Linked DNA regions of Elephas maximus indicus. The protein of the gene in region 4 binds, or shares a complex with, the protein of the main gene of each other region. Links are inferred from orthologs where the notes say so. Each region holds a gene or a part of one and is shown on either strand. Other genes may lie near its edges.

Region 1 (7,383 bases), on a different chromosome or scaffold from region 4:
GGGGCACAATTCAATTCATAACAAAGGTCTTCCTCTTTTTTGCTGACCCTCTACTTTACCAAGCATGATGTCCTTCTCCAGGGACTGGCCCCTCTGGATAACATGTCCAAAGTAAGCGAGATGAAGTCTCATCATCCTTGCTTCTAAGGAGCATTCTTCTGGCTGTACTTCTTCCAAGACAAATTTGTTCAGTCTTCTGGCAGTTTGAGGTATATTCAGTATTCTTTGCCAACACCATAATTCAAAGGCATCAATTTTTCAGTTTTCCTTATTCAATATCCAGCTTTTGCACACGTACGAGGTGATGGAAAATACCATGGCTTGGGTCAGGTGCACCTTATTCCTCCAGGTGACATCATTGTTTTTTAACCCTTTTGTAGCAGATTTGCCCAGTGAAATGCATCATTTGATTTCTGGACCACTGCTTCCATGAGCACTAATTGTGGACCCAAGTAAAATGAAATCCTTGACAACGTCAGTCTTTTCTCCATTTATCATGACGTTGCTTATTGGTCCAGTTTTGAGGATTTTTGTTTTCTTTATGTTGAGGTACAATCCATATGGAAGGCTATAGTCTCTGATCTTCATCAGTGAGTGCTTCAAGTCCTCTTCACTTTCAGCAAGCAAGGGTTGTGTCATCTGCATATCACAGGTTCTAAATGAGTATTCCTTCAGTCCTGATGCTGCCTTCTTCATGTAGTAGAGCTTCTTGGATTATTTGCTCAGCATATAGATTAAGTATGGTGAAAGGATACAACCCTGAGGCACACCTTTTCTGACTTTAAACCACACAGTATCCCCTTGTTCTGTTCAAACAACTGCCTCTTGGTCTATGTACAGATTCTGCATGAGCACAATTAAGTGTTCTAGAACTTCCCTTTCTGGGTGCCATGGCAGAATGGGCCTGAGGTCTGGGTCAGGTCCCCTTGGGGACTGTGGGCTGCAGGGTGGGGTGGGGTGTGTCAAGGCAGAGGCAGAAGGGACTAGATGGAGGAGGGCAAGAGGGTGGGTTGGTACTCTGGTTCCAGGCTGTATGGGTTGCTAAGTGGTTATAGCCACTATTCACCAGAGGGGTGGGCGTTGTAGGAGCGTGCTCCTGTGGTTACCTGGTAAGACAGCCTGGGCTTCTCCGTGAGTTGCAGCCAGCAAATGTGGTCTTACTTAGTTCTGTGTGTCTGCACTGTACCTCTATCTATAGAAGTGCCTTTCTGTGTGCAGGGTTCTTGGCTTTATTCCAACATGGCAACACTGAGTCATGCTGTCTGGTCATGAACCTCCACTCTGTACCTCTATTCCTTCCCCATTTTCTATCAGTTTCTTCTCCTCAGTAACTTCCAATCTAATACTTTCCCCCTTCATTTAAGGCTTGGAGTTCTAGGACTGATGTCTGTATCTATTTTACTTGCTTTTGGGGTTTTTGCTGCTGGGATGGTTTAGTGCATCTGACTAGTCTGCCATCTTCTGGTGTGTACATTTGAATAATAGTTGTATTAGCTGGTCTTCCTTGTAGGCGTGTAGATATTATCCTTCACTGACAGTGTGGTACTTCAGGACGGATCTTGAAATGTTCTTCTTTGACGATGAATGTGATGCCGTTCCTTTTCAATTTATCATTCCTGGCATAGTAGGCCATATGATTGTCCAATTTAAAATGGCCAATACCAGTCCATTTCAGCTCACTAATGCCTAGGATATTGATCTTTATGCATTCCTTTTCATTTCTGAAAGATTTCCTAGATTCATACTTCGTACATTCCATGTTCCAGTTATTAATGGATGCTTGCAGCTGTGTCTTCTCATTTTGAGTTGTGCCACCTCAGCAAATGAAGGTTTTGAAAGCTTGATTTCATCCACGTAATTCAGGTCTTCTCTCCTTTGAGGAGGCAGCAATTCCCTAGTTGTATTTTAAATGCCTTTCAACCTGAGGGGCTCATTTTCTGGCACTATGTCAGACAATGTTACACTGCTATTCATAAGATTTTCACTGGCCAATGTTTTCAGGAGTAGACTGCCGGGTCCTTCTTCCTAGTCTTAGTCTGGAAGCTCCGCTGAAACCTGCCCACCAAGGGTGACCCTGCTGGTATTTGAAGTACCGGTGGCATAGCTTCCAGCATTACAGCAATATGCAAAACACCACAGTAGGACAAACTGACAGATGAGTGGTGGAAGAGGATACTGAGCGGTTTAAAACAACAAAAAAAGGTGTGCATCAGGGCTGTATCTTTTTGCCATACTTATTTAACCTGTATGCTGAGCAAATATTCTTAGAAACCAGACTATATGAAGAAGAACTCAGCAACAAGATTGGAAGAATACTCATTAACACTCTGTGATATGCAGATGACACAACCTTGTTAGCTGAAAAAGAAGAGAACTTGAAGCACTTAATAAGAGCAAATACTACAGCCTTAGGTAAAGAAAACAAAAACTTTCACAACTGGACCAATAAGTAACATCATAATAAAGGGAGAAAAGATTGAAGTTGTCAAGGATTTCATTTTACTTGGGTCCACAGTCAATGCCCATGGACACAGCAGTTAAGAAATCAAAAGACTCATCGCACTGGGCAAATCTGCTGCAAAAAACCTCTTTAAAGTGTTAAAAAGCAAAGATGTCACCTTGAGGAATAAGGTGCACCTGACCCAAGTCACGGAATTTTCAATCACCTCATATGCGTGAGAAAGCTGGACAATGAATGAGGAAGACTGAAGAAGGACTGACACCTTTGAATTATGTTGGTGAAGAATACTGAATACACCATGGGCTGCCAGAAGAACAAATAAATCTGTCTTGGAAGAGAGTACAGCCAGAATGTTCCCTGGAAGTGAGGATGGTGAGACTTCGTCTCACATACTTTGGACATGTTATCAGGAGGGACCAGTCCCCAGAAAAGGACATCATGCTTGGAAAAGTTCAGGGTCAGCAAAAAAGAGGAAGACCCTCAAGGAGATAGGCTGACACAGTGTCTGCAATGCTCTTGGGTGCAAGTATAGCAACGGTTGTGAGGATGGGGCAGGACCAGGCAGTGTTTGTTCTGTTATACATAGGGTCACTATGAGTTGGGATGGATTGGAGGGCACCTAACAACAACAACATACAGACAAGGAAACAGCAATTATTTGTCAGAAGTCTTGCAGGTAGTTAACTAAGGAGCTGGAACCAAGCTGTACAGGTCTCAGAGCCTAATCTCTTGCTACACTCTAAGATCAAAACCTGCATCACTCCCTGGGACAGTCAGAGGCAAACATGGGGTCTTAAATTCAATTAATGGACATCTGCCTAATTATACAATTATTTAAACTCCTCGCTGCCTCCAAGCGCAGTAAATTAGTTGTGATTTATTATGCAACTGAAATCACAATGCTTGAGTCATACAGGGTAAGAAATATGAAAATTCTGGATGTTTTGGAGGTTAAGAGGCTCAAGCCATTCTTTTCAGGTTCTTAAATTTTATTTTTTAATGAAGGGAAAAAAAAGGTCAAAACAGGGTTACAGAAATTCACATTAAACACTAAACGAATTAATGCTTTTAACAAAGAGCTTAAAGCTTCATTTGGAGATAACTGCGTATGTCCACGTCTAAAGCTGTGTGCATCTGAGACCCGGACACTGGCTTCCTGACAGCCCTGAAGAAAACTCAACAGAGCCCGACTTAAGCATCGGTTTTGTCTGTGGTTGTGTAAATGCGATGGGTTGGGCACCCGGGGCCTCCGGCCCCAGGCAGTTACCTCAGCCGCAGGGCGGCGATACAGCCAAAGCAACTGGGTCAAGAGCGCCTCCGGAACTAAAGCGTTAGCCTGTGTCTGCTCCAGGGCTCCGTTTCTCCGAGCACCGGGGGGCGGGGCCTGGCCAGTGGGGCTCGGCGGAGAGCAGCCCGGGCTGGCTGAGGGTGCAGCGAGGTGAGGTCGCCGGCTGCTGGACCATGCTGAGTGGCGCGTGCGGCAGGCTCGTCTCAGCGCCGCTGTCCGCCGTCGCCCGCAGGTGGCTGCACGCGTCGGTGCCTAGACTGTCGGCGGACCGGAGCGCGAAGGCGGGGGAGCAGCCCCGCGCCTTGGACCCGGCGCTGCTGGAGTTCCTGGTGTGCCCGCTCTCCAAGAAGCCGCTCAGGTGGGACTTGCCGGGCTCCGTTTTCCCTTCGCGGCCTCCTGTTGGGAGGAGAGGGCAGGTAGACCGCGCGGCCTCTCACAGCCTTTGGGCAGCTTTTCAGGTTCATATGTGGTCTCGGCGGCCATTTTGTGGGCCCAGGCCCTGCTGAGCGCCCACGCAGCTTCTCCTGCGACCTGAAGGGCGAAAGGAGACTTGAGGCGAGCCGAGCCCCAGGCCTCCCAAATTAGCCGCCGGCCCGCCGGAATGCATCGGAGCGTTGATAGGTGCTCTAAGGAATCACCAGGGTGCATTTGCGGGGGGTGGGGGACGTTGTCTGGGTACCGACACGAGCGGACCGGGTCGGAATGCCTGGGGGCGGGGCCTGGACGTTTGTTTTTCTGAAAAGGACCATGGATGATTCGTGAAGCGTTCAGGTTTTAAACCCACGGTGATGAAAAATATGCTAGTAGCTTATTTTTGTGAAATGGCCGTGTACAGCTACTGCCTAACGGTATTTTAAAAATTTGAGCTTTGTTTGCTGCCCTTTGGCTCTTCACTCTGAACTAACTGGTTATTGCAAATGCTCTCTTAACCTTTAACATAGTCTTTGCTAAAGCGGCTGTACAGTTCCAGCTATTAAAACTGAACATTGACAACGGTAGTGTTACAAATTGCATAAACTAAACACCAAAATGTTAACAGTGATTATACTTGGGTGCTAGATTGCCGGTAATTTTTATTTTCATCTTTTTGCATTTCTCTTTTACTAGTGTGCCCTATAATTAACATAACGGTCATTCAATTTTTTTTAAACCTTTAAATTATTGTTGGGTCTGTCTTTTAGCTAATTGTGTAACTCGCTCACTTTAGACTTGTTTCCAAAGTTTCCTCATTTCTGCCCTCCCATCGTTCTCAAACTTTTGTGTATTTTGATTTTTCAGCGATTTCCATCTAGTGGATCAGTTAGGATACTTTACTGAGCATTTATTCTTAAATCAGGAAATTGAATTTTTCTCTAGTTTCTGTTCCAGTAGTAAATGGATTGGGATGGTTTTGGGGTTAGCCAGAGGAATGAAGGGATGTCTGGATGAAAAGAGGAAATATTTTCTGAGCAGTATGAGAGAAAACTTTTAACTAAGGCATGACTTGGGAATACAGTAAAAAGAGAATTTGAGAGAAATTGATTAAAATGGGAACAATTACAGATTTTATAAGAGAAATGGTAATATTGGCTATTGCTGCTTTTAGAATTAAAGAATACAGTTCAGTGTTAACTCTGTCGAGAATTGGACAAATAGTATTATTTATTGAATATCAAGGTCTTCCAAGAATTTTGTTTTACAAAATTCGCTTTGTGATTCTTTTCTTTTTTCCTAGATACGAAGCATCGACAAATGAATTGATTAATGAAGAGTTGGGAATAGCATATCCAGTCATCGATGGCATTCCTAATATGATACCACAGGCAGCTAGGATGACACATCAAAATAAGAAGAAAGAAGAAATGGAGCAGCACTAAACCATAATTTTTTTAAAAAAAAGAAAACTGAATTCTCTTAATATCATTTATCTTTTAAAAAGTCAGAGTGGCGGGTAATAAGTGTGGAAGAAGAATGTTTCTGTCTCTTCCTACGTTGACTGTCCTTATTCCGCTGGTTTCTTTAGCAGGACTGTTCTACTCAGCCTCTGTGGAAGAAAACTTCCCTCAGGGCTGCACTAGCACAGCCAGCCTCTGCTTTTATAGTCTGCTCTTGCCGATTACCATACCGGTTTATGTGTTCTTCCACCTTTGGACTTGGATGGGTATTAAACTCTTCAGGCATAATTAATACAGCCAGATCCAAGATGGTCTTGGGCCTTTCTCTGAAAGTTCAACCAGATTGAAATACTGGAATCCCGTTTAGTTTGCAGGAAAGGTACTTTGCCTTGCTTCTGTCAGAAGCTTAGGACTATGGGAGGCTTAAGCTGCAGGAGCTTCTTTTATTATACTCTTGTTCTGCCCTTATTTTTTCAAAGTTCTGATTTATAACAACTACTACTATATCAGAAGAAACATTTTGACAAGTGTCTTGGAAATTAATAGCCTCATCCATCAGCTGATAACTTTATACTTTATCCTACTCGTCTAAAAAGTTAGTCATTTGAAATGTTGTTTGGTTATTTAGATTTAAGCTGTTTAGTCAAGTCACATGCTAGGAACGATTGAAACAATTCCAGAGAAGCTGTGCTAGAAGAGTTCTAAAGAAATGCCTTTGAACTGGTGTGATATAAAACCTTACAATAAAATGGAAATTTCACATACTTAGAAAAAATCTTAGTTTGTAAAATTATCTTCATTTCTTTGGCATCACATGCTTACATTAATAATAATAAAATAAGATGTCCACACTTTCCCAAGTCGATTCTGACTTACAGGGTTGCTATGAGTCGGAATCCACTCGAAGGCAGTGCGTTTGGTTTTTTTTGCGGGGGGGGGGGGGGGGTGGGTAGTGCTTTTTGTCACAAGAGTGGTATAAAGGGAGAAAAATTGTAAAAATGTTCCAAATTTTAAAATGTAGGCTATGTTGAGAGACATGTACTTTGGACATGCTGTAACAAATACCACAAGTGGATGGCTTTAGCAAAGAGAAATTTTACTTTCTCACGGTCTAGTAGGCTACCTACCTGTTGCCATTGAGTTGATTCCGACTAGAAATCCAAATTAGAAATCCAAATTCAGCTCGTCAGCTCCAGCTCCTTGTCATCAGTCTTCCCCTGCCTAGGAGCTTCTCCCCACAGAAACCCCTGGTCCAAAGGACACCCTCTGCTCCCAGCACTGCTTTCTTGGTGGTATGAGGCCCTCAACTCTGCTTGCTTCTGTTTGTTTTATCTCTTGTAAGGTAAAAGGTGGTACAGGCCATACCCCAGAGGAACTCGTGTTACATTGGATTAGAGATGTGACCTGAGTAGGGGTGTTCCATCCCACCCTAATCCTCTTTCACCACAGCAGAGATTATCATTTATAACACATAGGAAAACCACAAAATGGAAGACAACCACACAATACTGGGAATCATGGCCTAACCAAGTTGACATATTTTGGGGGGACACAATTCAATCTATGACAGTTGTTACGAGTTGGAAGTGACTCAAAGTTACCTAGCAACAATGTTTAGAGACACATTTAATACCTAAAATAGAAACATTTCCCAGGAAAAGAGCTCCACTTACCTTTGGGAGGACTTGCAAATAGCTGGTTATGCCTTGTTGAGCTTAGAGTTAGTTTCAGTTTTATTTTCCTGACCTAATCAGAAGACC
Region 2 (7,940 bases), on a different chromosome or scaffold from region 4:
AAAGTAAACTATAATATTTCAACATGATGGAATACTATATAATTATTTAAAGTATAACAGCCTTTGCAGATGAATGAAAATGCATATTAAATAACTATTTAATAAACAAAGCACAAAATAGTGCCTAATATGTGTAGATAATGACATCTGGGTGAAACTGTATAATGGAAACTGAGAGTCAAAGTAGATGAATAGTAATTTATGGGCAGAAATTGCTACATATTTGATTATTTTTTCTCTAAAATTTGCATGAATTCATATTATTTTTGAAAGCCTATATTTGCTTCAGAGAGGAACTTCTAAAATAACTAAAATCCTAATTTTCACTGGAAATAGTTGCCAGGTATCTTCAAAAACTCTGACAAAAGTTTACATTCCCACTGAGCATAAACAGCAGTGCATATGCAAGGAGTACGAGAGGAGGTAGAGAATTTCTCTGGAGAAAGGAAACTTAAGTGTTCTGTGCTCACCTGGAAGACAGGTACTACTTGGGATATCCCATGTGGTTCCACTGGATCCTTCAATAAAATGCAGAGGTAGTAAATCACCTTCTGCTGTAAGAAAAGAAACCAAATAGCAGAAGTCCAAGTGAAACTCGGTTTGTTTTCTTTTTCTTCTTCTTCAAGGGGAGGCTCAAAACTTTTTCTCTAAGTAGTAGAACACCTGATAACCTTGAAATGGAAAAGGAGAAGTATATTCTCATTCTTTAAATGAAAAATACAAGAGATGATTTTGAAGCTGGGCTAGAAACAGTTGAAGTGCTGATTCCTTATTCATAAAAACCTATTCTCTTTAAAAATAGTCCTATCTTTTCAACGTAAGTTTCACTCTTATGGTTTATAGACACATCAGCCAAAAAAAGAAACACTGCAAGTACTAGAGCAGAAGATTCCTCAAATTTAATTCTATGACATCAAATACTTTAGTATTTGATTCAGGAACACCCCACCTGCTACTTCCTCCAGAAAGGCCTGTAATACTTATTATACACTTACCATGTAAATAGCCTCGTTAATGACAATATCCTTCACCTTGCCCATCTCAATAAAGGTGGTGCTTTCTTTGCCTGAGGCGTAGGATGAGGTCAGCTGGATGCCCAGGGAATCAATGATTAACAGAGTCTCCTGATCAATCTTCACAAAATGGAGGTAACCAAGTAGGCCTAAGAGGGTGATGAAGATGGCAGCAGAGAGGATCATGCTGTTCTGAAGAGAGAGCCAGAGGCAGGCAGTAAGATTACCAAGTGGTCCTGCGCACACTGCTGCTGTGTTAACAAATCAACTCGGGCGGGGCGGGGCGGGGCGGGGGGGGGCAGAAAGGGACAAAGGACAGGCGAAAATCTTTGTTCTACTGTGAGTTGAACAGATGCAAGACCCATACATAAGAGGAAACCATACAAAAGAGGAAACCACTTTTATCTGGGTTCTGCAAGTATATAGGAGTCCTTGGGTGGTATAAATGGTTAAGTGCTTGACTACTAGCAGAAAGGTTGGCAGTTCGAACCCATCCTGAGGTGCCTTGGGAGGCAGGCCTGTCAATCTGCTTCTGAGAGGTCACAGCCTTGAAAACCCCACAGTTCTATTCCGCACACATGGTGTCACCATGAGTCAGAATCAACTTGGTGGCAACTAACAACAGCATACAAGTGGATAGTGGAATAGATCCAGATAGCTTCCAAATGGACAGGTCTGTGGAGGGAAATCCACAGCAAAATGTCTGGCATCACACCAATGTCAAAGATTTTTCTTCCAAAAGTGCAATTTAGGGACCCAGATCTTTTCCTCTCTTGCTCCCTCAGCAGAATATACAGTGCAAAATCACAGACTGAACAATTGTAAAGTACTTCGCACCAGTGCTGCAGATACTACTCACTGCCTATTCAACTGCCGCTTCTTCCTAGTAGAACTTGGAGTGAATCATGACCTGGTCCCACTCCTTTTGCCAATGATTGGTTAGGAATGGGCACATGACAAGTCTGGCCAATGAGATGTCAGGGGAGGTCAGCTAGAGGGGCTTCTGAAAAACTTAGTTCATCTTAAAAAGACAGCTAAGGAAGAAGAGGTCCTTTCTTTATGAAGTTCATAGTGAGGTTTGATGCCATGGCCTTTGCCACATGAAGTGGAGATGGCATAAAAACAAAATTCTCCTATTTTAAAATTGCCTAAGATCAGCCCTCCACATGGAGGAGGCAACATGGTATAAACAAAAAGAAACGGCTTCAGAGTCAAACAGCCTTGGATTTGAATCCCAGGTCTACCATTTACTAGCTTTGTAGATTTGCGACCTTGGATAGATAAGTTATTACTCTTTCTGAGCCTTGGTTTTCTTCTGAGGTTGAAATGAGGCATTCAGTAAAACACCTGGCACTCAATAGGCAGTTAATAAGTTATCTGTCCCTGCTCCCCACATGCCCACAGGGGCAGAACTCAGGCTAGTATTAAAATTCAACTGTATTATAAATTTAGGTAGCTAGACAGATAAACATAGATAAATTACCATGCTCTGAAATATGCTGTGGTAGCAAAAAAGCTAATGGATGCAGTAATAGAAACTACCAAAATACGGAATAAATAGCTCTGCTGTATTTAGCTTTGACCAGACCACTCCTGGAATATATTCCATCCAGGACACTATACATGAAACTAGAACTTACCCTGGGAAAGGCAATTAGGATAAGTCCTTTTAACTGAGCGCTGTCACAAAGTTAGGACATTTGACCCACAATACAATACTGTGGAAGAGGTCCTGGTGGCACTGTTAATCAAAAGGTCCATAGTTCGAACCCACCAGCTGCTCCACAGGAGAAAGATGTGGCTGTCGGCTTCAGTGAAGATCTACAACCTTGGAAACCCTAAGGGGCAACTGTACTCTGTGCTACTTGGTCGTTAAGAGTTGGAATTGACTGGAGGGCACACAACAACAATACCGTGAAGCTAGTGTGGCAAATATTCCATTTTAGAGATGCGAAAACTGAGGCTCAGAAAAAATAGGACTGAGTCTGGAAATTGCTCGAAAAGTTCATAGTTCTTCAGAAAATACGTGAAACTGGGGAAGGGATTCAGGGAGGTAGATAGATTGCCTTGAAAAAGAAATTAGGAGGAACTATAAAAGCTGCTTTCAAGCTTTTAACGTCTGTGTGTATCTAGACACACACACATATACTATATATACACATACACACTTGTAGAGGCAGAGAGTTTCTGAAAGACTATATAAGGTATTGTTAACAATGATACCTGTGAGGAGTGGAAGCGATGGATGAGGGTGATCCACTAACAGTTCTCTGAACTCTCGGAATTAAATTACTAGGAGCATAACTACATAGCGCACATGGAAGTTTACATTTTAGGCTGTCGTGCAAGGACTAAGATGTATGCTGGGTGGATCCACAAAAGCAGAACAGGGATCCACGAGAGGGAGATGGTACAAGAGCACAAACTTCACTAAACGTAATGAAAAGATCCGTCCAGCAGGACAATGGCGTCTCCAGAACCAGCGAGTCCTCGTCCTCCGACCCTACAACTGTAGGAGGATCCGGCAAGAGGCTCGAGCTCCACCAAAAAGACCCCAAAGAGCCTTCCAAATCCGAGCCCCAACTCCGAGGGCAGGGAGAGGCCGACCGGCCATTACCTCACAGAGGGTGAAGAGTCCGTAGGCCGCCAGCCACACGGTGCAGGTGACAGCGGTGAGGGAGCGCAGCGAGAGCCGAGGGCAGCTGAGGCAGAACTCCCGGCAAGAGGGGGAATAGTAGCGGCGCTGCAGGGCCAGGCGGCCGCCGCAGATGTCCGAGAAGCTCCGCTCGTCCTCCATTGCCGGCTCGCCCCCACCCAGCGGGGCCGCGCCGCGCCGCGCCGCGCCACTCTAGCCCGCCCCACCGCGCCGTCTCGCCGGCTCTCGGGCCACTTCCGGAGAGCCGGGTCAGCGTCCCGCCCCCCGTTCGGCGCAGCCGCAGTTCGGCGCTGAGAGTCCGGGAGGTTAAGTGAAGAGTTCATCGTGCCCCCGGTGTGTTCGGCCGCTATTTTCGGCTTCTTTGTCTTCTCCAAAGAGTCGTAGGGGGCCAGCGACTCAGCAGACAGATTAAAACCGCTACTAACAAACGTGGTTTCGCCCGACAAACTGATTTATATTTCTAAGCCAGAGTGTGCCCCAAGGAGACAGTCCACAGGTATTCATACATTCCAATCATTGTTTTATTCGTTACATATTTAATGACACCTTTTTTATTGTGTACTAGGGAAACCCTGGTGGCGTAGTGGTTAAGTGCTACCGCTGCTAACCAAAGGGTCGGCATTTCGAATCCGCCAGGCGCTCCTTGGAAACTCTGGGGGCAGTTCTGCTCTGTTCTATAGGGTCGCTAGGAGTCGGAATCGACTCGACGGCACTGGGCTTGGTTTGGGTTCATTGTGTGCTAGATAGTTTTAGGTGCTGAGGATACAGTGGTGAATAACATTGACAAGGTCCCTGTCCTCAAGTGGCTTCCTTTCTAGTGGGAGAAATAATATGGAAATAATTTCAGAAAGCCGTCGGCAATAAGGTGATGACCACAGGCAGGGACGGGTGGGCCGGGGACTTTAAACAGGGCATTCAAGAGAACGTCTCTCTGAGAGGGAAACTTTGGAGCTAGAAGAATGAGAAGGAACCGAACATTGGTCTCAGGGAGTTCTGCAGGTGCACTTTGTCAGGAAGAAGGACGAACAAAGACAAAGCCCTCGAGGCTGGAACAAGGTGAGCTTATTGGAGGTATATAAAGGCCATGGAGACAGGTGCCTGGGGACAGATAGGTAAAAGATCCAGAAGGGTCTTGTATGAGACGCTGTAAGGAGTTAGATTTCACTGTCCAACTTCTCTCTCCCAGACCTCTGCTGGGAGGTAGACAGTAGGAGTGTGAGATGCAGTTTATGGAAAATAGGATTACTAAATGTATGTAATAAGTCCTGTGGGTTCCCTCCTCTTACCTCAGATGTGTCCCGTGAGCCACGGTGTGGCCTATTAAAATAGTTATGATGCTTCAGCCCTGAGGCGTAAGGATAAATGGCATAGAGTTCTCACTAGCTTTAAGTCTCTCCGATGCCAGTCAGGTTCAGTTGCTCCATTCTCATGCAGAATTTTTTTCCTTTTCTTTTCCTAAATTTTTCTTCAAATATTGCTTTGCTTTGTTTTTCCAGTTTTATTTCTGTGCCCCGAATCTTCCAACCAATACTTTTTTTGTGAATATCATTTAATGTCTTTTACAATTATAAAAGTAATATTTGCGTATTGTTGAAAATTTGAGATTTTTAACTGTACAACAAGGAAGAAAACTTTAAACCACCTATATCGCCCCCACTGAGACATAAGCACCGTTGGTGTTTTAGAGAGACCTCTAGTCCTGGAGTTCTCGCCCAGGCATCCCTAATAGCATTCAGAGTCTGCGGACTTGGATGGGGAAAAAATTTCCCCTTTAGTTTCATTAACTTCTAACTGAAATTTAACATTTCTTTTGATTATGAGTGCAGACACAAACCAAGTAGTATCAGCAGTGATTTTGTCACCAATAGAAATCACAAATATTTTCTTTTCACAATAATTGTTATAAAAATCAAACCTGTCACCATCGAGTCAATTCTGACTCACAGTGACCCTATAGGACAGGGTAGAACTGCCCCATAGGGTTTCCAGTGCCTGGAGCACTTAACCACTGTGCCACCAGGGTCTCCATAATTGTTATCTCAAAATGTCCTTTTCACTCATAACTACTTCAAAATTGCAGTAATTATTAGACCCATCACTAGATCTTGTTATTAATGTGTCAGTAAAGAGATACATATGGCTATAACACATTTGAAAAATATTTTGATTACTATATTTCAATTCAAGGAGCCCTGGTGGCATAGTGGTTAAGTGCTCAGCTGCCAACCAAAAGGTTGTCAGTCTGAACCCACCAGCTGCTCCGCAGGAGAAAGATGTGGCATTCTGCTCCTGTAAAGATTATACAACCTCGGAGACCCTATGTGGCACTTAGACTCCGTCTTATAGGGTTACTATGAGTCGGAATAGACTGGACAGCAACAGGTTTGGTTTTGGATATTCACATTCTGTTGGTTTTCTTTGAAATCCAATGTTTTGTTTTTTTTTTTAAATGCAATTTAAAATATGATTGTGATAAGGGATCCGTTAGCTTCACCAGACTTACAAAGGGTCTGTGGCACAAGAAACGTTAAGAACCTGTACCGGCTTAGAAAGTTTCACAGCAGTAGAGGCATAGAAAGAAAAAGACACCTAAATGTACACTTAACATTTTTTGAATACTATTAGGAATATATATGGTAGTAAAGTAATCCCAAAATCTTTATATCTACTTTGTTTTGTCACATCACAGTATCTTCTTAACTCTATTATGCAGTTTGGCAGCTCAGTAGAAATTGAAACCTATGTGTTTGCTATTTACCTAGGTTCCAGTTAGAATGTGAAATGACAAGTTTTCATGACCATGATCTTGCAAAAGTATCAAGGAGTGATTGTTTTAGCTCTCAGTATTGGATTTCAAAATATTCTCAAATCTCAAAAGTTCCATGGACTATATTTGCAGGGTCAGTCATGGAAAAATAGAGAAAGGGAGCATGAGAAAAAATATATACCCTCTATTTTCAAGGTAGGATAACTGCTGTAACAAAACACCTTACAATTTCAGTGGCTTGACACAATAACTGTTTATCTTAAGTGCATAGTTCCACATGGGTGTTCGTGGTGAGGTGACACGCTTCCAAGTCAGCGACCCAGACTCCTTGCATCTAATGGCTGCACAACCCCCTAGGGCCTTCTCGTGGGCCTCTCCATTGGATCCTCTGCATCTGGCTGGCAGATGAGGGGCAAGAATGGAGGAAGGTGCATGAGACGGTTTTCTGGCCAAGTCTTTGGCCCACATTTCCATTGGCCAGAACTCATTAGCATGGCTATACCTAACTTCAATGGAGGCAGAGAAACAGCATCTATCAGTGTGGGGAGGGATGGTTGAGGAGAAATGATCTGGTGAACATTTAGTCAGGCAAAGGCCATATTCTTCAAAGAATTCTGGCTACAAGAACCAGGAACTATATTGGAGTGAATTAAGCACTGAGGTGGCAATTCACAGGATTAATCTCCCAGACTTACTTTTGGTATGATGGGTAATTATTTCCACTGTTAAAGTAATTCTTGGAGCCTGAGTGGTTTTGAATTTGAATAGCAAAGGAAAATAGAGTAATTAAAATACAAGTTCAGTTAACTTTTTATTTTTAGGGTCCATGCCAGATTCTTAAAACCCTTCCATAAGTTCTATTTTAGTGTTTGCTTACATTTATGGGTTAAATAGTCATTCCAAGAATACAATCTTAAACCAAAAACAAAAGCTGTTGCTGACCAGTTGATTCTGACTCAGCAACCCTGTAGGACAGAGTAGAGCAGCCCCATAGCGTTTCCAAGGAGCAGCTGGTGGATTCGAACTGCTGCCCTTTTGGTTACCTGAGCTCTTAACCACTGGGCTACCAGGGCTCCTCTGTCTTGTACTGTTGCTTCTATTCTGTTTGCTTTTTTATGATATTAATGATTGCTACTGCTATGTTAACTGATGGTAGGACTCCTACTAAGGGCCACTTACCCCTAAGCGTTCTGTGAACTCAAAGGAAACTAATAACAACCCATAGAGGAGAAAAAGCAAAGGCCCACGTAAGTAAAAAGTAATCCCAATGAAATGGGGTTTTAAAGAAATAAACTTTTCATCTGTTCATTTCTAGAATTCCATTTTGATTTATCTAGTGTTTTTGAGTATATCTCTTCATATGGTTTTTTTAGTGGTTGCTTGTTTTAGTTATCTTGTGCTACTATAACAGAAATGCCACAAGTGGATGGGTTTAACAAAGAGAAATTTATTTCCTCACAGTAAAGTAGGCAAAAAGTCCAAATTCAGGATGTCACCTCCATGG
Region 3 (6,869 bases), on a different chromosome or scaffold from region 4:
GGGCACAACCCCAGGACAGCTGGACTCTAAAAGCCCAAACTTTTAAGCCCCAAGCCCCACTGCTTCCCATACCCTGCAATCAGCATGTGTACTGGATCCTGATGGGCAGGAGGAGGGTGATGACCTGCAAAGGGATTGAAAAGAGAGGACCTGGACCATAAGAATCAGTCAGCTTTCGTCCAGTGCGCCCAAGGCCAAAGACTCTGTCTGCCAGATGGGCATCTACGGAGCAGTTATATTTTCTGGGACTAGGAGAGCTGGGTCAGTTTCCCTTAAGACCATCAGTTACTAACCTGACCTTCTTCCTTACTTCCCTCACCTCACATTTATAGAAGGCTTGCTGGGTTTCCCACACTATGCTTGGTCCTGGAGACACAGTGGTCCTGAGCAGGACAAGCAGGAAAACAAAAACCCTTCTGCTCAACAGATTAAGGGCCATCTATAACTGAGAGACTGTGGAAGTGCAGAAGAGGCAGGTGGTGACCAACCTTGCAAGCGGGGCCAGGCCAGGGAGGCTGCGTGAAGGATGCGGCATGCAAGCTCAAAATTAGAGAAACAGGTACTCACCTTTTCTTGTAGCACGTTTAGGGCTTCTCTGTTTACATGAATTTACAAAAGTAACATTTTAAATTAATTTATTTTTTAATGTACTGGTAATTACTTTTGTTATAAGGTGTGAGGTGGGACTCTAACTCAATTTACTTTTTCCAATGGTAAAATAGTTGCAAATAGTTTTAGAACAATTAATCTTTCCTCACTCACTGGAGATGTCACACCTGTCATGCTAAACTTGTATGTCTGCTTGGTCTAGACCTTCACTTTCTATTCTGTTCCATTCATCTAGGGAGGGAGGTGCTACAGTGTAGTGGTAAACTGTACAGACTCTGGAGTCAGGTTGTCTGGGTTGTGGCTCAGTTTCCTCATTTGAAAAATAGGGGGATAATAATAATACCTACTTCATAGCATTGCTATGAAGATTAAATGAGATAATACACTTAAAGCATGTCACATATGCCTGGCACATAGTAATCAAGGAATGTCAGTTATTATCATGATCCTTATCCACCCACTCCTGTACCAGTAACACAAATACCAAAAAAAAAAAAAAAAAACCCAAAAACCAAAAAAAAAAAAAAAAAAAAAAAACCTGCTGCCATAGAGTCGATTCCAACTCATAGCGACCCTATAGGATAGAGTCGAACTGCCCCCAAGAGTTTCCAAGGAGCTCCTGGCGGATTTGAGCTGCCGACCCTTTGGTTAGGCACCAGGGTGAATACAGTGGAGTGAAATTGCTAAGAACATGGCTTTGGTTTAGATGAAACGAGCTCTGCTACTTACTATCTGCATGGCCTTGGGCAAGTTACTTATCTCTTACCTTCTCTGCATCTTGGTTTCCTCATCTATAGGTGGAGCTGTAAAAGTATCCACTGAACCCAAAAACTATTGTAAAAATGAGACATGACAATGTTGCACAGGGCATGACACAGAATAGCCCCGCAACAATGTTTCTTTTACTGCTGATTATGATTATCGATCTCTCTGGCTGGTGGGGCAAGCCCCTTCTTGTTATCTCTCCTCCCGGAAACTTTTTTTTCTGGGAAGTGGCAGTCAGTCTTCCAGGGCCAGTTCTACTCCGGGTTAATAAAACAGAATTTCTGGATTTACAAAGATGATGCTCAGTTTCTGAACTGGGCTAACATCTGAAAGTCGTTGTGACCGGGGAAGCCTGACTGAGCAACCAGTAGGATTTGCAGGGAGATGAGGATAGGGACTTACATGGCAGGTTTTTTAGGTCCTGAGATACCCACAGTCCCTGTCCTTCCTCCTTCATTAAAAAACAAACAAAAAACAGTTGTTGTCCAGCTGATTCTGACTCGTGGCGATCCCATGTATGTCAGAGTGGAACTGTGCTCCAGGGGGTTTTCAGTGGCTGATTTTAGGGGCGTAGATTGTTAGGCCTTTCTTCTGAGGTGCTTCTGGGTGGACTCGAACCTCCAATTGCCAACCTTGTGGATAGCAGCCACATATAGCAGATTTTAAAAATGGTTTTTATTTTGTCTTAATTTTTACGTATGCATATACTTAAAAAATCAACTTAGCTCTACAAGCCTTGTCATGAAAAATGACAGTCCCCTGCTCCACTTCTCCCACCCTGCATACACACTCCTCAGAGACAACCACTCTCAAGTTTCTTGGCTGCTTTTTCTGGTATTTGTCTCAGTATTTCTAAATGATATCCTTATATTATTATTTCTTGATTTTTCCCATTTTAGATGGAACCAATTGACTTCCAGCCACAGAAGATGAGCGTTTAATTTTTTCTACTCCTGATTCTCCTAATATACTCCTCTCCCCCACTCTCCCAATTTTTGGTTAAATCAATACACAGTGTTTACATTATTAGGGCTGTGAAAATATTCCTCACACCTCTGCTCTGTAGTGTTTGTACTAAGACTCTGTGAACCTGTAAAAACTGCTTTTGTTCTACCCAGCTACCACCAATGGCTGCCCTGACAGGGAACACAACAGAGAGTCCCTGACAGAGCAGGAGAAAAGTGGGATGCAGACCTCAAATTCTAGCAAAAAGACCAGACTTATGGTCTGACAGAGAGTGAAAGGACCCCAGAGGCCATGGCCCCTGGACTCTCTGCTAGCCCAAAACTAAAACCATTCCTGAAGCCAACTCTTCAGACAAAGATTAGACTGGACTATAAGACATGAAATGATACTGGTGAGGAGTGTGCTTCTTAGCTCAAGTAGGCACATGAAACTATGTGGGCAGCTCCTGTCTGGAGGTGAGGTGAGAAGGCAGAGGGGGACAGGAGCTGGTTGAATGGACACCTGAAATACAGGGTGGAGAGGAGGAGTGCGCTGTCACATTGTAGGGAGAGCAACTAGGGTCATATAACAGTGTGTGAATGGGTTTTTGTATGAGAAACTGACTTGAATCGCGAACTTTTACTTAAAGCACAATTTAAAAAAGAAACAAAAACCCTACTTTTGTTCATTCATATCACGGACATTGGTTGAGAAACCTCATTCTCTAAAATCATAGACACCCCCAAACTTGCCTATTTGAAATCACGTTAATGAGAATGGAATATCTCACTCTTGTCTGAAGACCTGAGCCATGTTGGTTACTGTCTTAGTCATCTAGTGCTGCTTATAAAAGAACTACCACAAGTGGATGGCTTTAACGAGGAGAAATTTATTCTCTCACAGTCTAGTAGGCTACAAGTCCAAATTCACGGCATCAGCTCCCGGGGAAGTCTTTCTCTTCTGTTGGCTCTGGAGGAAGGTCCTTGTCATTAATCTTCCTGTGGTCTGGAAGCTTCTCTGCACAGGAACCTCAGGTCCAAAGGATACGCTCTGCTCCTGGAGCTGCTTTCTTGGTGGCATGAGGTCCCCCAGTCTCTCGATTCGCTTCTGTCTTTTATATCTCAAAAGAGATTGGCTTAAGACAGGATCTAATCTTGTAGATCTCATCAATACAACCGCTGCTAGTCCATCTCATTAACATCATAGTGATAGGATTTACAACACATAAGAAAGTCACATCAGATGAGAAAATGCTGGATAATCACAATACTGGGAATCATGGCCCAGCCAAATTGATACACATATTTTTGGGGAACACAATTCAATCCCTAACAGTTACTGTGACACAGAGAGGCAGCCTCGATTTCCAACCTAGGTGCAAACCCAATAGTGGGTTTCTGGACACAACATTCCACATTTATCTTAACTTTGTGCTTTCCAGCCAGACCCTGAGTCCACTTCTCAGCCGGGGTTTGTTGTTGATTCCTTTACATACAGCTGTGTTTTCCTTTGAACTCATCAAAACATTGCTTCCTTTAAATTTTACCTAAACTCAAACCCGTTGCCCTCCAGCAGACCCTGACTCGTGGCGACCCTATGTGTGTGTCAGAGTAGAACTGTGCTCCGCAGGGTTTTCAGTCACTGTGAACTTTTGGAAGTAGATCGCCAGGAGTTTTTCCGGAGGCATCTCTGGGTAGACTCGAACCTCCAACTTTTGGTTATAAGTGGAGAGAGTTAACCTTTTGCACCACCCAGGGACTCCACCTAAACTCAGCCCTTTCCCGTATCCTGTAAGACTCTGTTTCTTCCTTCGTTGGATGAACTGCCCCGTGGTTCCTCTGGTGTGTGCTTTACCTTGCAGGAGCAAGTTAATAAAGTTAGTAAGCCGAACTCTAACTATGGGCTTTATCAATTCTTTCTTTCTTTTTTTAATAGCTTTGTTTTCCCTGAAGTTGTAATTGTCTGATCTTTTCTTTTGCTTGGTTTTCTGTATAAAACCAAACTCATTACTGTAGAGTCGACTCCAGCTCAATGTGATCCAATAGAACAAAGTAGGACTTCCCCACGGGGTTTCCAAGGAGCAGCTGGTGGATTCAAACTGCTGACCTTTTGGTTTGCAGCCAAGCTCTTAACCACTGTGCCACCAGAGCCTCGGCTTTCTATATACGCATCAGGAATTCATCCCCAACACTCCGAAAGAAGAATACGCCTTCTTTCGATGCCTTTAAATATATCAGGTAATCCTTCCGTTCCCCCAGTTCAACTCTTTTATTTTTTTTTCCTTTTAAAGGCACTCCCGCCCCTCCGCCCGGAGCCCTCCATTCTTTGGTTCCAAGCTTCTTCGATTAGTTGTCATCGTGACTAGTTGTCAGTGTATCCACTTTCCTGACTCCTGCTTTCCCCCTCCACCCCAGGAGGGGACAGGTCTCTTGACATCTCTATACCCCGCAGTCTGCCACGGGGCTCAAAAAATGTTCGAATGAATAAACGAATGAAATAAGAAGTTAGTGAATGAATGAATGAATGGTATTTCTGTACTGTAGAACGGGGTTTAAGGGGAAGGACATTACGATTCCACTTTGTTGCAAGATATGAGTGTGTCTTCAGGCTTTCTACAAGCCTCGTGCCATCTGCTTAGGGCGCAACTTGAAGCAGGGCCCCGAGCTAGGGGAGCCGGCCCAAAGCCTCTCGGGGCCCAGCAAGCGGCTTGCCAAGAGTCGGTTGAGGCCGCCTTGGGGAAGACAGGGGCCGCAAGTACCCTAGGCTACTGCACGGAGAAAGACTACAATTCCCAGAAGGCCGAGCAGAAGCAGAGCATGCGCCGTAGGCTTCCAGACACTGACGTCCCAGCCGCGCTAGGCAAAGAAGACGCGGGGCAGAGAGGGAACGGTGGGTTGAGAACTGAATGGAGAGGGCGAGAACAGCGAGAACCACCGAGCAGCGGAGCTGAGGTTAGGTGATCCGGAGAGTGGGTGAGTGAGAAGCACAGGCACTAGGTCTCACATGCAGAGGGGATGGCGGGGTGGAAGGGACTCCGAGCTTGCTTTCTCTTCCCGCAGGGACCATGACGAAGCTAGCGCAGTGGCTGTGGGGGCTGGCGCTCCTGGGCTCCACCTGGGCGGCCCTGACCATGGGCCCCACCCTGGGCCTGGAGCTGCCCTTGACCTGCCGGGAGGTCCTGTGGCCGCTGCCCGCCTATTTGCTGGTGACCGTCGGCTGCTTTGCCCTGGGCACCGTGGGCTATCGCGTGGCCACTTTTCATGACTGCGAAGACGCCGCCCTGGAGCTGCAGACTCAGATCCAGGAGGCCCGGGCCGATTTGGCCCGCAAGGGCCTGCGCTTCTAACGCCCTCCCCGACCCCTGCCCGGGCAGCCCTCCCTCCCAGCCCCCGTTAAAGAGCAAATTCATTTTCATTTGCTGCGTTGTTAAGTGTGAGTGTGGGGTATGGTGATTAGGGATGTGTACCGGCAGTGGAGAAGTGAGAGGTTCCAGCTTCCTGAGGTCGTATCAACCGTTATCTGCGCAACCTGCCGGCATTCCTGTTTTGAACTGAAGGAGGCAAAGACCTTAAGATCTCTCAGCATGGAGATGTCATTCCACTTTCCTCGTCCTTTTAACCCTGTCAGAAGATATGCCTAACCTCTATTCTCCTTAATAAAAGCCAAGCTCCATTCTTTTTGAGGTCTTTCTGGGTCTTTCCAACGTCTTTTTTTTTTTTTTTTTAGATACCTTTTCTGAGCCAACCTTTGTTGTTGTTGTTAGTTGCCATCCAGTCGATTCCGACTCATGGCGACCCCATGTGTTGCAGAGTAGAACTGCACTCCATAGGGTTTTCAAGCCTGTGACCTTTTGGAAGCAGATTGCCAGCCTGTCTTCTGAGGCACCTCTGGGTGGGTTCAAACCACCAACTTTTTGCCTAGTACTTGAGGACTTAACCATTTGCACCACCCAGGGACTCCTGAGCAGCCCTACCAGCCCTAAAGTAGCGGTGGATGAGGCAGGGCACCCTTACCCTGCTAAAAGAGTGATTGCTTTGTCACTATCCTTTACTAAACCAGGCAGGTTGAGAATCACTGAATAGAGAATGAGCCGTGGTGGGCAGCGGTGAGGAACAGTTTATTCTAAGGCACATTCTAAAGGTATCACCCCAACCTCCAAAATTAAAAAAAATAATCTCTCTAAAAAATAAAAGCAGTTCATCTCCCAGGTCCCACCGCATCTTCTAGGTAAAGCTCTTACTTTGGTTCTTCTATTCACAAAGTCATCCCTTTTTCTTTTCCACAACCCACTATACCCGTGGGGGGCTAGTCAACAGGAACAGCTGAAATGAGGGGTTCTCTTTGGTATTAGGTTGCCATTAGAGTGCCCAGTGGTCAGGTGAGATGCCTCAGGTTTGCAGGAGCCGATAGTTCTTGTCTTTCTCCTGGGGATACTTCCGGAAAAGCCAGAGGCGGATCAAGCTGGTGAAGATTCCTGGAAGGTTGGGCACCTGAAATCATAAGGCTACTATGACGAGAGGAGCTGGTTTTCCACCTTGCACGCCTGTCAC
Region 4 (8,903 bases):
CTGTGGTCCCATAGACGACCTGGCAGCTAGTCTTGACTCTGATACTCACAATATGTGTCACCTTGAGCCAATGATTTAACATCTCTGAGCCTTAATTTCCCCCTCTGCAAAACAGTGCTGGTTAGCAGGACCTGCTTATAAAGTACCTGTCTGGGCTTGGCCCAGAGGGGCGCTGGGTACATGGAACAGTGAGGAGGTGGAGCTGACCTGTCTCTCCCCTGCAGGGTCTCCTCTGGGGTCTACGAGCCAGTCGTGATCGAAAGCCATTGAGGAGCAGGTGTCCAGACTGGAGAAGGGCCCTGCCTTCGTGGACATCCAGATTCATGTCATCCCACGAAGGACATTCCCCTTCAGATCCCCATCTGGGCCACATCTCATCTGTGCCTCTTCCATGTACTCCAGCCCCACATGTCCCCAAAGCATCATTCCATGGTCCTCCCCTCCATTCTGGGACCCTTCTGGCCCCCTGGAGCCCAGGCACCACTGTGAATATTCTCCTCTGAACCACTAGAGGGCAGGACAAGTAGGCCCTTGCAGCAGGTGGCCAAGACAAAGAGCAGGACTGTCTCCACTGGAGACTGACTGGACCCCCTTGGCCAGGGACAAGCAGCAGCCCTTAAATATGAGGAGGCTGCTTGTAGCTGGGAGGCCTCTTCCCTGCCTCTCCACCCACTCCAGGAACACTGGCTACAGCCACCCTGGCAGGGCCTGGCTCCATTGCCCCCTTGCCCTTGGGGAGCCAGTCCATCCCCAGAATCCTGCCACCGTGACCCTCTGACTGCTTAGTGCTTCAGCTATCCCTTCCTTCTATCCTGGGGGACCTGCTGGCGGCCTCCTCCTGGGAACCAAGACCTCACACCCCACCCACACTTCACCCCATCGAATGTTCTGCTGCTGCCCTAGCAGTCTGCACTTTGCACATGCTTGTCCCCAACACAGCCCCCCTGCCTCCTGCCACCCCTTCCCTGGTCCTGTCCCAAGGATCCCTGGCCTCTGCCTGCTGTGCAGTCAGAGGCCCAGGCATCACAGCCCGGCTGGAACGTGGCACTGCCTCTCCTCCCTCCAGTTAGCCACAGCTCAGGCCTGGGACCTGTGCTGAGAAAGGTCTGAACGTCAAGGGGTTTCCCCTCTGCCAGGGCTGGATCCTGAGCAGCTGGGTTTCATGTAGGAAGGCCAGGAAAGGTGCCCCCCAGGGCCTGGGAGGTTGGGGGCTTGGCTAGGCTGGACTTGGCAAGCAGAGCCCCCTTTCTCTGCCCTCAGGGTCAGCTGGCCCAGGCTAGGGCCAACACTGAAGAGACAGGTGGGCTGTGACTGGGCTGGCCCGGAGCTGGGTTCCTGGCCAGAAAAGACTCAACCCTCCTCTGAAAGCATCCCCTACTTCTGGGCCAGGCACAAATGAAGTCCTGTAAGAGACATCTCTCCAGTGGGGGACAGTCTGGCCCCCCTCCCTCTCCATTTCCCCCGCCCCAAGCCTCTGCTCTCAGCACTTTTCCTTCCCTGGTCCTTGTTACTTGCTTAAAGGTGGATTCTGGCTACTAGCCAGTCCCTGGACCCCCACCCCACCCCTCTTTTAAATTTCATTCATTTTGTATAAACCCAGCAGGCTGGTGTTTAGTTCTGTAACTTCCTTTTCATTTCTTTTCTCTCTCTGTTTTTTGTTTTTTTCTTTTTTTGACTTCACAGTTTGGTATTTTCTCCTCCCCCAGGTTAGGGGTAGGAGGTTCTGTGCTCTGCTCTGCCTGCTGGCTGGGTCTCAGCAGGGCTGGGCGTCTAGATGTGGGGAAGGGCACAGGCTGGTTCTCTGGTATGGGTAGGTGGGGTTCCTCCCCAGGCTGGGAGGTCACCTTACCCAGCTTCTCATCTGCCCCTGCTAGCAAGAGTTGGGGTTCTTGGTCCCGGAACCTGGCTGGCATTGGGACCAGAGCATTTTTAGGTTTGATTTTGTTTTTACTGTTTTATGATTTTTTTAATCACCTAAGTCTTTTTGTAGAAAATGAATGTTAGAAGGTGCCTGCCAAGGCAGGATGGAGCTCTAGTCAGCTCTGAGGGTCCCTTCCTGCCCCGCAGATGCCTGGCACTTTAAAAGGAAGCTGGTGGTGCTGTCTCCAAATGGGGTGACCCCCAGAAGGTGGGGGAGTGTCATCCTCCTTCTGTGTTTGTGTGACCTCAGCCCAGGGAGGTAGGAGGTGCATTCAGGGTGTTTTGGGGTCTGGTTTAAAGTTCTGGGGTTTCGGGCACAAAACTGTTGGCTTTAGCACTGTTGGGGAGACTCCTCCAAACCAGGAACTCCAGCCCTGCCCTAGGTGAGGTCTGAGCTCAGCAGTCACCCAAGAAGGAAATAGAGCCAGGCCACACTCTTCCAGTGCCAGGCCCTGGGCAGGAGAATTGGACTAGCTGAGAATTCGGCCACAACCAAATTAACACTGGCTGGAGCCAGAGGCCAGGAGCCCTGGCCTCGGCCCCACATGGGAGCCCTTTCCTCGGCCCTCTGGCCTCCTCGAGCTCAGTGAATCCCCACCAGGTGTGTACAGCTCCTGGACTTCAAATTCTATATAGAGATAGATATATTAGAGATATTTTTGGAAAGGAATTGGTCTATGCAATGCCAGTTTGGAATCTTCTTCAAGGACAGTTTTAATATTTTTACTAGGAGTTTTAAAGAAAATAAAGGTCTACAGTATTTTTTAGGGTGATTTCTGGTCACCCCACAAACTGACCACATGATATGATCTACCAGGGTGGAAAATGTCCACGTTTTCTCTTAGGGAGTTGAGTGGTGAGGCAAGGTTTTTTTGTTTGTTTGTTTTTTATTCCTCTCCTTTCTAACAGAATGCTGCCACCACCGCCCCCGAATTCAGCGGACTGTGTTTGTATCTCTGTCCCAGCTTCTATTGTAGAAAACATTTGAAGGGGAAATCAGTCTAGTATCAGTGTCTTGGTTTCAAGGGAAAAAAATAAATATTGTGGTTTTTGTTTTGGTATGGCATGTTGTTTTTTACTTGTTACTTTACCACATTGACTTTGGGGTCAAAGACAGCATCAGAAGGAAGCCCAGATGTGTGAGTGAGGTGATGTTCTGGGGGCTGGGGAAGATGTCCGTGGTCAGGGTTCTCCAAGTCTTGGCTACAGTCATTATCACCACCTTTATTATTCCAAATCTGAGTGAGGAAACCAAAGCCCAGAAGGGTCATTACTTGCTAAGCTCGCACAGCTACTAAGTGGCAGGTCCTGGATTTGAATTTGTCTCTGACTTAAGAGCCCAAGTTCTAACCACTGCTCTGTGGACCTCCCCAGCAGTCAGGTTGCCTGTAATGAGTGTGGCTGAGGGCAAATAACTCAGTTTTCTCAGCTGCAAAATGGGGTTGTGTATTATGAGAAAGGAAGTATACAGCCTAACCTGTGGGAGGTGCTGGGCAGGTTCCCAGCCTCTCTAGCCCCAGGCCAGAGTAGTCTCCATGCTAGGCCTTGGGCCTCTCTCCCCGTTTACCTGACTCCAGAGTCACACAGAACTGGGCAGCCTGGCCAAGCTCTGGGAAAGGTAGGTTGCCCTGGCCTTTAATGAGCTCAGAAATGATGGAAAGCCTAGTGGCTTTGGACAGGCCAGAAGGGACCATGTTCCCCAGCCTGGCCCCTAGCCCTAGGCCAACATTAGCCCCCCTCCTCAGGGCTACCCCAACTCATGGCCCCATTAAGCCCTAATGCTAATTCTCAGCCCTTTCCTCTGTCAGGCACACTCAGGGAGGGAAAACTTGGCTTCCAGCCAAGCCCAAAATCAGTCCTGAGATTGAAGGGAACTGTTCTATAAGCTTTTTTTTTTTGGCGGGGGGGTGGGTAACCCCCATAGTCAGAAATGAGCTCACATGACTCAAGGAGATAAATGCTGCTGGCAGGAGCAAACCATGCCAGGCTCAGACTTGGCTGCTTCCTCCTTGAAGGGGAAACAGCAGGCCCAGGGCCTCCACGTAACCCATCAAGGAGGCCTGGAGTGCCCAGTTGTTGTACCTTCTAGCATTCCAGGATCTAAAAAATCAGAGTCTTAAAGCTAGTTGATTGATGTGTGCCAAGCCCCATTCTGGATACAGCAGTGACCATAGGCCTTACCCTCAGGGAGCTCACAGTGGGCCAGACCAACACCTTAGCCAATTAAAACGGGGAGACAGGAGGGAGCCCCTGCTTCCCGATGCCAAAGCCACTTCCCTGGGGACTCCCCAGTGAGGCCTAATGGATGAGGAGCTGCTGGCCCTGTGAGCTGTGGGGAGATGTCAAAGATGATCTGGCCCAACCACCCTTTGTTCTCAAATGAAAAGGCCTCCAAAGCGTGTAGGGTGGGGGGGAGGTGGCAGCCCTGCCATCTCCTGGCCAGTCCAATGTGTCTGGGCTGCTGCAACACCCTGGTGAAGGGAGGGAGGGGCCCCTGGCCCAGCCCGCAGTGAAGAGGGACACAGGACAGGTCGCCAGGGAAGTAGGACCTATCCCTAAGCCAGGCTCCCCTTATCTACCAATTGAAATCTCCCACATCTCTGCGGATTCAAATCAGCCTCCCTTCCTCGCACCGCAGACTCAGCAGTGAACACTCTCTTGTAGCTGGTGAAAACCCCAGGTTTGGAGGCTGAGGTGGAAGATTAGAAAGGCAGCTTTATTTCCTTCCGCAAGGAAAGGAACACCCAAGGGCTGGTGCTTCCAAGGCTGTTCAAGGATAAGGTTTAAAAAAAAAGGTTTAAGGAGGTCACTTTTATAGAGTTTACAAACAGGGAGATCATGTAAATACATCAGCAACATTCTAAATCATGCCACGCAGGCACAATAAGTGTTAACATACAACTTCTTTGAATTTGTGTTTAGAAAATAGCAGTTAAACCCCTTCTAAGGGTGGGAAAGTTAATATATACAAGGCACTTAATGAGCCAAAGTTAACTCTAGGTCTCTCGAACGAGCTTAAACCAGCTCTCGAGGCTTATTGTCCTGCCTCAAAGAGGAAATACAAGCTCTAAGATGTTATCTCTTGCTTGGTTCCTGACCACACTTGCTGTGGGATTTTTCCCAGTTATCAAAGGCTCCTGCCTTACTCTGTACCCTTTCCTTCAGGAGGCATGATAGGGACCGGGAAGCGACACCGGATTCTGGTCTCAGTTTCACCATTCCTTGAATTGTGACCTCCAGCAGGTCTCTGCCCGTTTCTGAGCCTCACTTTCGACCTCTGAAAAATGGGACTTCCGACCCCCAGCCCATCCTGCTCTGATTTTGGGTCTTTGCAATGTATAGGAATAAGCTAGGTTCCTGGGGCGAACGCGACAAGACTGAGGCCTAGAGGGCCAGGCAGTCTGGGTCCCCAACTCTGTCCTATTTCCCTAGAGGCCTTCGGGGAACAATCTTCCCCACATTGCCCTTGAGAAACTTCATTTCCCGACATGCAAAGGGGAGGCGGTGCCTGCCTGTCTTAGGTAACGTGGTCTTGGGCCTGCCTGAGGACTACGACTCCCGGCGTGCCTCGCGGGTCAAAGCAAAAAAAGTCCCGGAACCGGAAGTGGCTTGCTGCTCCGGCGTCGGAACGTATCGGGTAATGGTGAGTTTGGGGCAGAGTGCGGCCTGTTGAGGGCATTTAGGGGCTGGTGGTGCTTCCGCTTAGGAGCTGGGTCTTCGGCACTCGGAACCGAAATTTCCTTTCCGCTGGCCCATTGTACGGATGAAAACGCCGAGGCCCGGTACCCCTTGCCCAGCCTGGAAACTGACTCCATAGTTGGCCCTCAATACGTTTGTTGAATGAACGGGAAATTTAGAGCATAATCAGGCTGCGACGCTCCCGCTCCACGCCCCCGCGCGCCTAAATGGCGAGTCAGGGTTGTTATCTGAGCCCTTCGTTTCCTCCAGGCCACGGGAACAGACCAGGTGGTGGGACTCGTTCTCGTCGCTGTTAGCCTGATCATCTTCACCTACTACACCGTCTGGGTGATCATCTTGGTACGTCTCCCCCACCCTCTATGCACCTACTCCCGTCCCTAACACCGTCCCTAACAACGTTTAAGAAGCTACTGTGTGCCAGATACTGTGCTAGGTGTTTCACCTGCCTTTACCTCACTTAATCCCGAGAACTCCATTATAAAAAGATGCTAGTGGTGTTCCTTTTTTATAGGTGAGGAAGCTGGGGTTCAGGGAAAAGGTTTAGCCCAAGGTCGTGTGCTTAACCACTACACTGTAAAGCCCTGTTCCTGAATTGCTTTGCCTTTGATGGGAATTCTAGTCTTTCTGTTTATCCTGCTAGCTCCTGGACACAGCTACTGCTAATGAATTTTGTGCGGGCTTTTGGGATTTTTTTTTTCTTTCTTATGGGAAAATTTAGCAGTTATTGCTTAGAAATTGTAGTGTATTTGGAAGGCAAAATCTTGTAGAACCTCATATCCTTCAAAGAAAGATGTTAGTAAAGATCTTGGAACTGAGGTTGAGAATCAGGATTCCTTATGTACTTCTTGCCCCTGTAAGGCTGTAAGTGCCCTAGGGCAGGTGCCCAGCACCAACCCAGGGCGGGTGGCTTGGGTGGGCATTAGCCCACCAAACGAGTACCCAGTAAACAATCATTAAACGAATGAAGGAAACATATCAAGACACGCAATGCCACCATCTTAAAAGCAAATGCTGTCTTGATGCCCTGAATGGGGTCAGCCCCTTGGACAGAGGAGGTAGGATATTTGGGCTTAGGGGGCTGAGGGAGACTAGGCAAGGTGAACTATGCTCACCAGAGCTCTGCCCTTGGTGCCAGCCATTCATTGACAGCCAACATGTCATCCACAAGTATTTCCTGCCCCGAGCCTATGCTGTCGCCATCCCGTTGGCCGTGGGCCTCCTACTGCTCCTCTTTGTAGGTAAGTCATCACTCTCTCAACCCTCGGCATGACTGTCTGGAGGGCCCCCACGACCTTCTCTCATCCCCGAAAATACTTCCACACTTTGGCGTTTGCTGTAGATCTACTTGAGGCTTATTGTCCCCAGGTCTTTCCCTGGGGTTGTCCTGTTTCCATTTCAAGGATGGAAATCAGTGGTGACTCCTCTGGTTTACCCAATGCCTCAAGCTCATAGGACTCCAGTGAGATGTCTGCCTTTTTCCTACCACCACCACTCCCGTAACTCTGCTCACACCTCAGTTACCTCTTACCCTCTCGTTACCCTGGTTTGTAGTTCTTGCACCTCTCTATCTCCTGTGGTTTAGTCTTGGGGGCTTTCTAAGAGCTGAAACTATGTCTTAGTCATTTCTTTGTCCACAGCACCTGACACAGGGTTTGCCACTGAGTTGGGACTCACGAAAGTGGTTTGGATGAGTCAGCAATTGAGTGGATGATAGGATAGATGGGTGCATGGACGATGGATGTGGAGTGGGCAGATCGGTGGGTGGTTAGGCAGGTGGACAGGGGATTGATTGAATGTGTAAATGCATAGATGGAATTTCAAACACCAAACACAGTGTCTTGCATGTGGTAGGGACTCCTTTGGTGTTTGTGAGTAGATTCGTGGCTTGATAAATGAGTAGAATGACTAGAAAGATGATCAGGTGGCCTGGAGGGTGGTAGGGTAGATGCATGGCCCTGCGTGTGGGTTGCTGCACCATGCCATGTCCTTCCCTGGCCTTCCAGCAGCCCTGAGCCCAGATCTTACCTAGTTTGTGTGGTCTGTATGTTCCAGGAGTGTTCATCACCTTCGTGATGGTGAAGAACAAGAAGGTGGCCAAGAAGGCTCAGTGAAGTCCCGGCAGGGGATGAAGCTGTCAGTCCCTTTTCTGCTTCCCACCAGGACAGGGACCAAGGGTGGGAGTCAGTAGGACTGGTCCAGGTACTAAGGCCCCTCAAGCCTGGCTGCCCTGCAGTCATGCCCATGGGATGGAGCTGTTCAGGACTCACCCCTGACTGACCAGAGCCCCTGCTCCTCCCCTGTTCACCCTTCCAGAAGCCAGGAGGGAGGAGTACCTGGAAGTCTCCTTCTCACCTACTTCTGCCCCAGGACCTGAAAGATGCTGATCCTTTCCACCTCACCTTCATACCCCCTGTTACATTTTCTTCTGGGTTATACCCTTTTGCTGCAGTTTCCCTCCTGTCACATGCTGATGTTGGACTTAACGGGCTCTGAGGGAGCACGCGATCTTTCCCCACCATGTCCTGCTTCTCTACAGAGGCAGCTTTCTCAAGTCTGACACAGCCCCAGGCCCTACAAGGACTTCTGGACCTGGAAAGCCTAGGGGAAGTGCTGACAGACCCTGGGATCATTGCCAGGGATCAGGGCACATTAGGGTGGCCACACTGGACCCCCAGACTGACCACTCTTCATGGAGGTCCAGCCCCCCGGCCCCAGTGCTGGCCTATGCGGGAGAGTTTAACAATAAACATTGATCATGTGTTTGTCTTTGTGCCACTCTTGAACAAGGGAGCTGGCCATGAGGACTGGAGAGGAGCTCGGAGCTGGCCCCTGCATTGGCCTCAGGTCAGAAGACCCTGGTTCATGCAGTGAGGGTACCTCAGGTGCCTCCTCTGTACCAGCCCTGTGCCAGATACAAGGAAGAGCAGGGACTGGTTCTGGCCTGGTAGAGCTCACAGCTGGGGACTCAGTGCAGGGGAGTTGGCATAAGTGCTTGGAGGAGGAGCTCTGGGCTTCTACCCACCAGATGGCCAGGTGGGGGCCCTGGCACAGGAATCAACCACAGACCATATCAGCCTCCACTGTACCTTCCCTTGGCTCCTCAGCTGGCAGACCCTAGCATTCCAGGGAGCCTCTGGCCAGTCCCCTAAAAGCCCAAGCCCATCATCTATTGCCAGCACCCAGCATGGCCCTGAGCAGCAAGAACTGCTCAATGAGATCAGGGCTGGCTCCACTGTGTTTAGGTTGACTGATCTGACACAGCCCCCTTCAGCCCTGCCAGCAGT

The links.
Region 1: DPM2 (region 4) and PIGY share a complex: the UniProt entries of both Homo sapiens proteins name them as parts of the glycosylphosphatidylinositol-N-acetylglucosaminyltransferase (GPI-GnT) complex. The link is inferred for Elephas maximus indicus from reciprocal best matches to the Homo sapiens genes DPM2 and PIGY.
Region 2: DPM2 (region 4) and PIGH share a complex: the UniProt entries of both Homo sapiens proteins name them as parts of the glycosylphosphatidylinositol-N-acetylglucosaminyltransferase (GPI-GnT) complex. The link is inferred for Elephas maximus indicus from reciprocal best matches to the Homo sapiens genes DPM2 and PIGH.
Region 3: DPM2 (region 4) and DPM3 share a complex: the UniProt entries of both Homo sapiens proteins name them as parts of the dolichol-phosphate mannose (DPM) synthase complex. The link is inferred for Elephas maximus indicus from reciprocal best matches to the Homo sapiens genes DPM2 and DPM3.

What each region holds. Positions count from the first base shown.
Region 1 is NC_064823.1:66,837,844-66,845,226, reverse strand, and holds PIGY (phosphatidylinositol N-acetylglucosaminyltransferase subunit Y), read left to right. Parts: upstream 1-5,682; 5' UTR 5,683-5,699; coding exon 5,700-5,915; 3' UTR 5,916-6,456; downstream 6,457-7,383. Other genes in the region: PYURF (protein preY, mitochondrial), read left to right, coding at 3,923-4,107, 5,464-5,605. UniProt on the Homo sapiens protein: Part of the glycosylphosphatidylinositol-N-acetylglucosaminyltransferase (GPI-GnT) complex that catalyzes the transfer of N-acetylglucosamine from UDP-N-acetylglucosamine to phosphatidylinositol and participates in the first step of GPI biosynthesis.
Region 2 is NC_064828.1:79,953,822-79,961,761, forward strand, and holds PIGH (phosphatidylinositol N-acetylglucosaminyltransferase subunit H), read right to left. Parts: upstream 3,892-7,940; 5' UTR 3,811-3,891; coding exon 3,631-3,810; intron 1,206-3,630; coding exon 996-1,205; intron 555-995; coding exon 324-554; 3' UTR 123-323; downstream 1-122. UniProt on the Homo sapiens protein: Part of the glycosylphosphatidylinositol-N-acetylglucosaminyltransferase (GPI-GnT) complex that catalyzes the transfer of N-acetylglucosamine from UDP-N-acetylglucosamine to phosphatidylinositol and participates in the first step of GPI biosynthesis.
Region 3 is NC_064821.1:193,064,803-193,071,671, reverse strand, and holds DPM3 (dolichol-phosphate mannosyltransferase subunit 3), read left to right. Parts: upstream 1-5,153; 5' UTR 5,154-5,291; intron 5,292-5,378; 5' UTR 5,379-5,383; coding exon 5,384-5,665; 3' UTR 5,666-5,996; downstream 5,997-6,869. Other genes in the region: SLC50A1 (sugar transporter SWEET1), read right to left, coding at 6,708-6,809. UniProt on the Homo sapiens protein: Stabilizer subunit of the dolichol-phosphate mannose (DPM) synthase complex; tethers catalytic subunit DPM1 to the endoplasmic reticulum.
Region 4 is NC_064827.1:79,029,028-79,037,930, reverse strand, and holds DPM2 (dolichol phosphate-mannose biosynthesis regulatory protein), read left to right. Parts: upstream 1-5,245; 5' UTR 5,246-5,560; coding exon 5,561-5,563; intron 5,564-5,868; coding exon 5,869-5,958; intron 5,959-6,754; coding exon 6,755-6,857; intron 6,858-7,671; coding exon 7,672-7,730; 3' UTR 7,731-8,493; downstream 8,494-8,903. Other genes in the region: EEIG1 (protein FAM102A), read left to right, coding at 225-270. UniProt on the Homo sapiens protein: Regulates the biosynthesis of dolichol phosphate-mannose. Regulatory subunit of the dolichol-phosphate mannose (DPM) synthase complex; essential for the ER localization and stable expression of DPM1.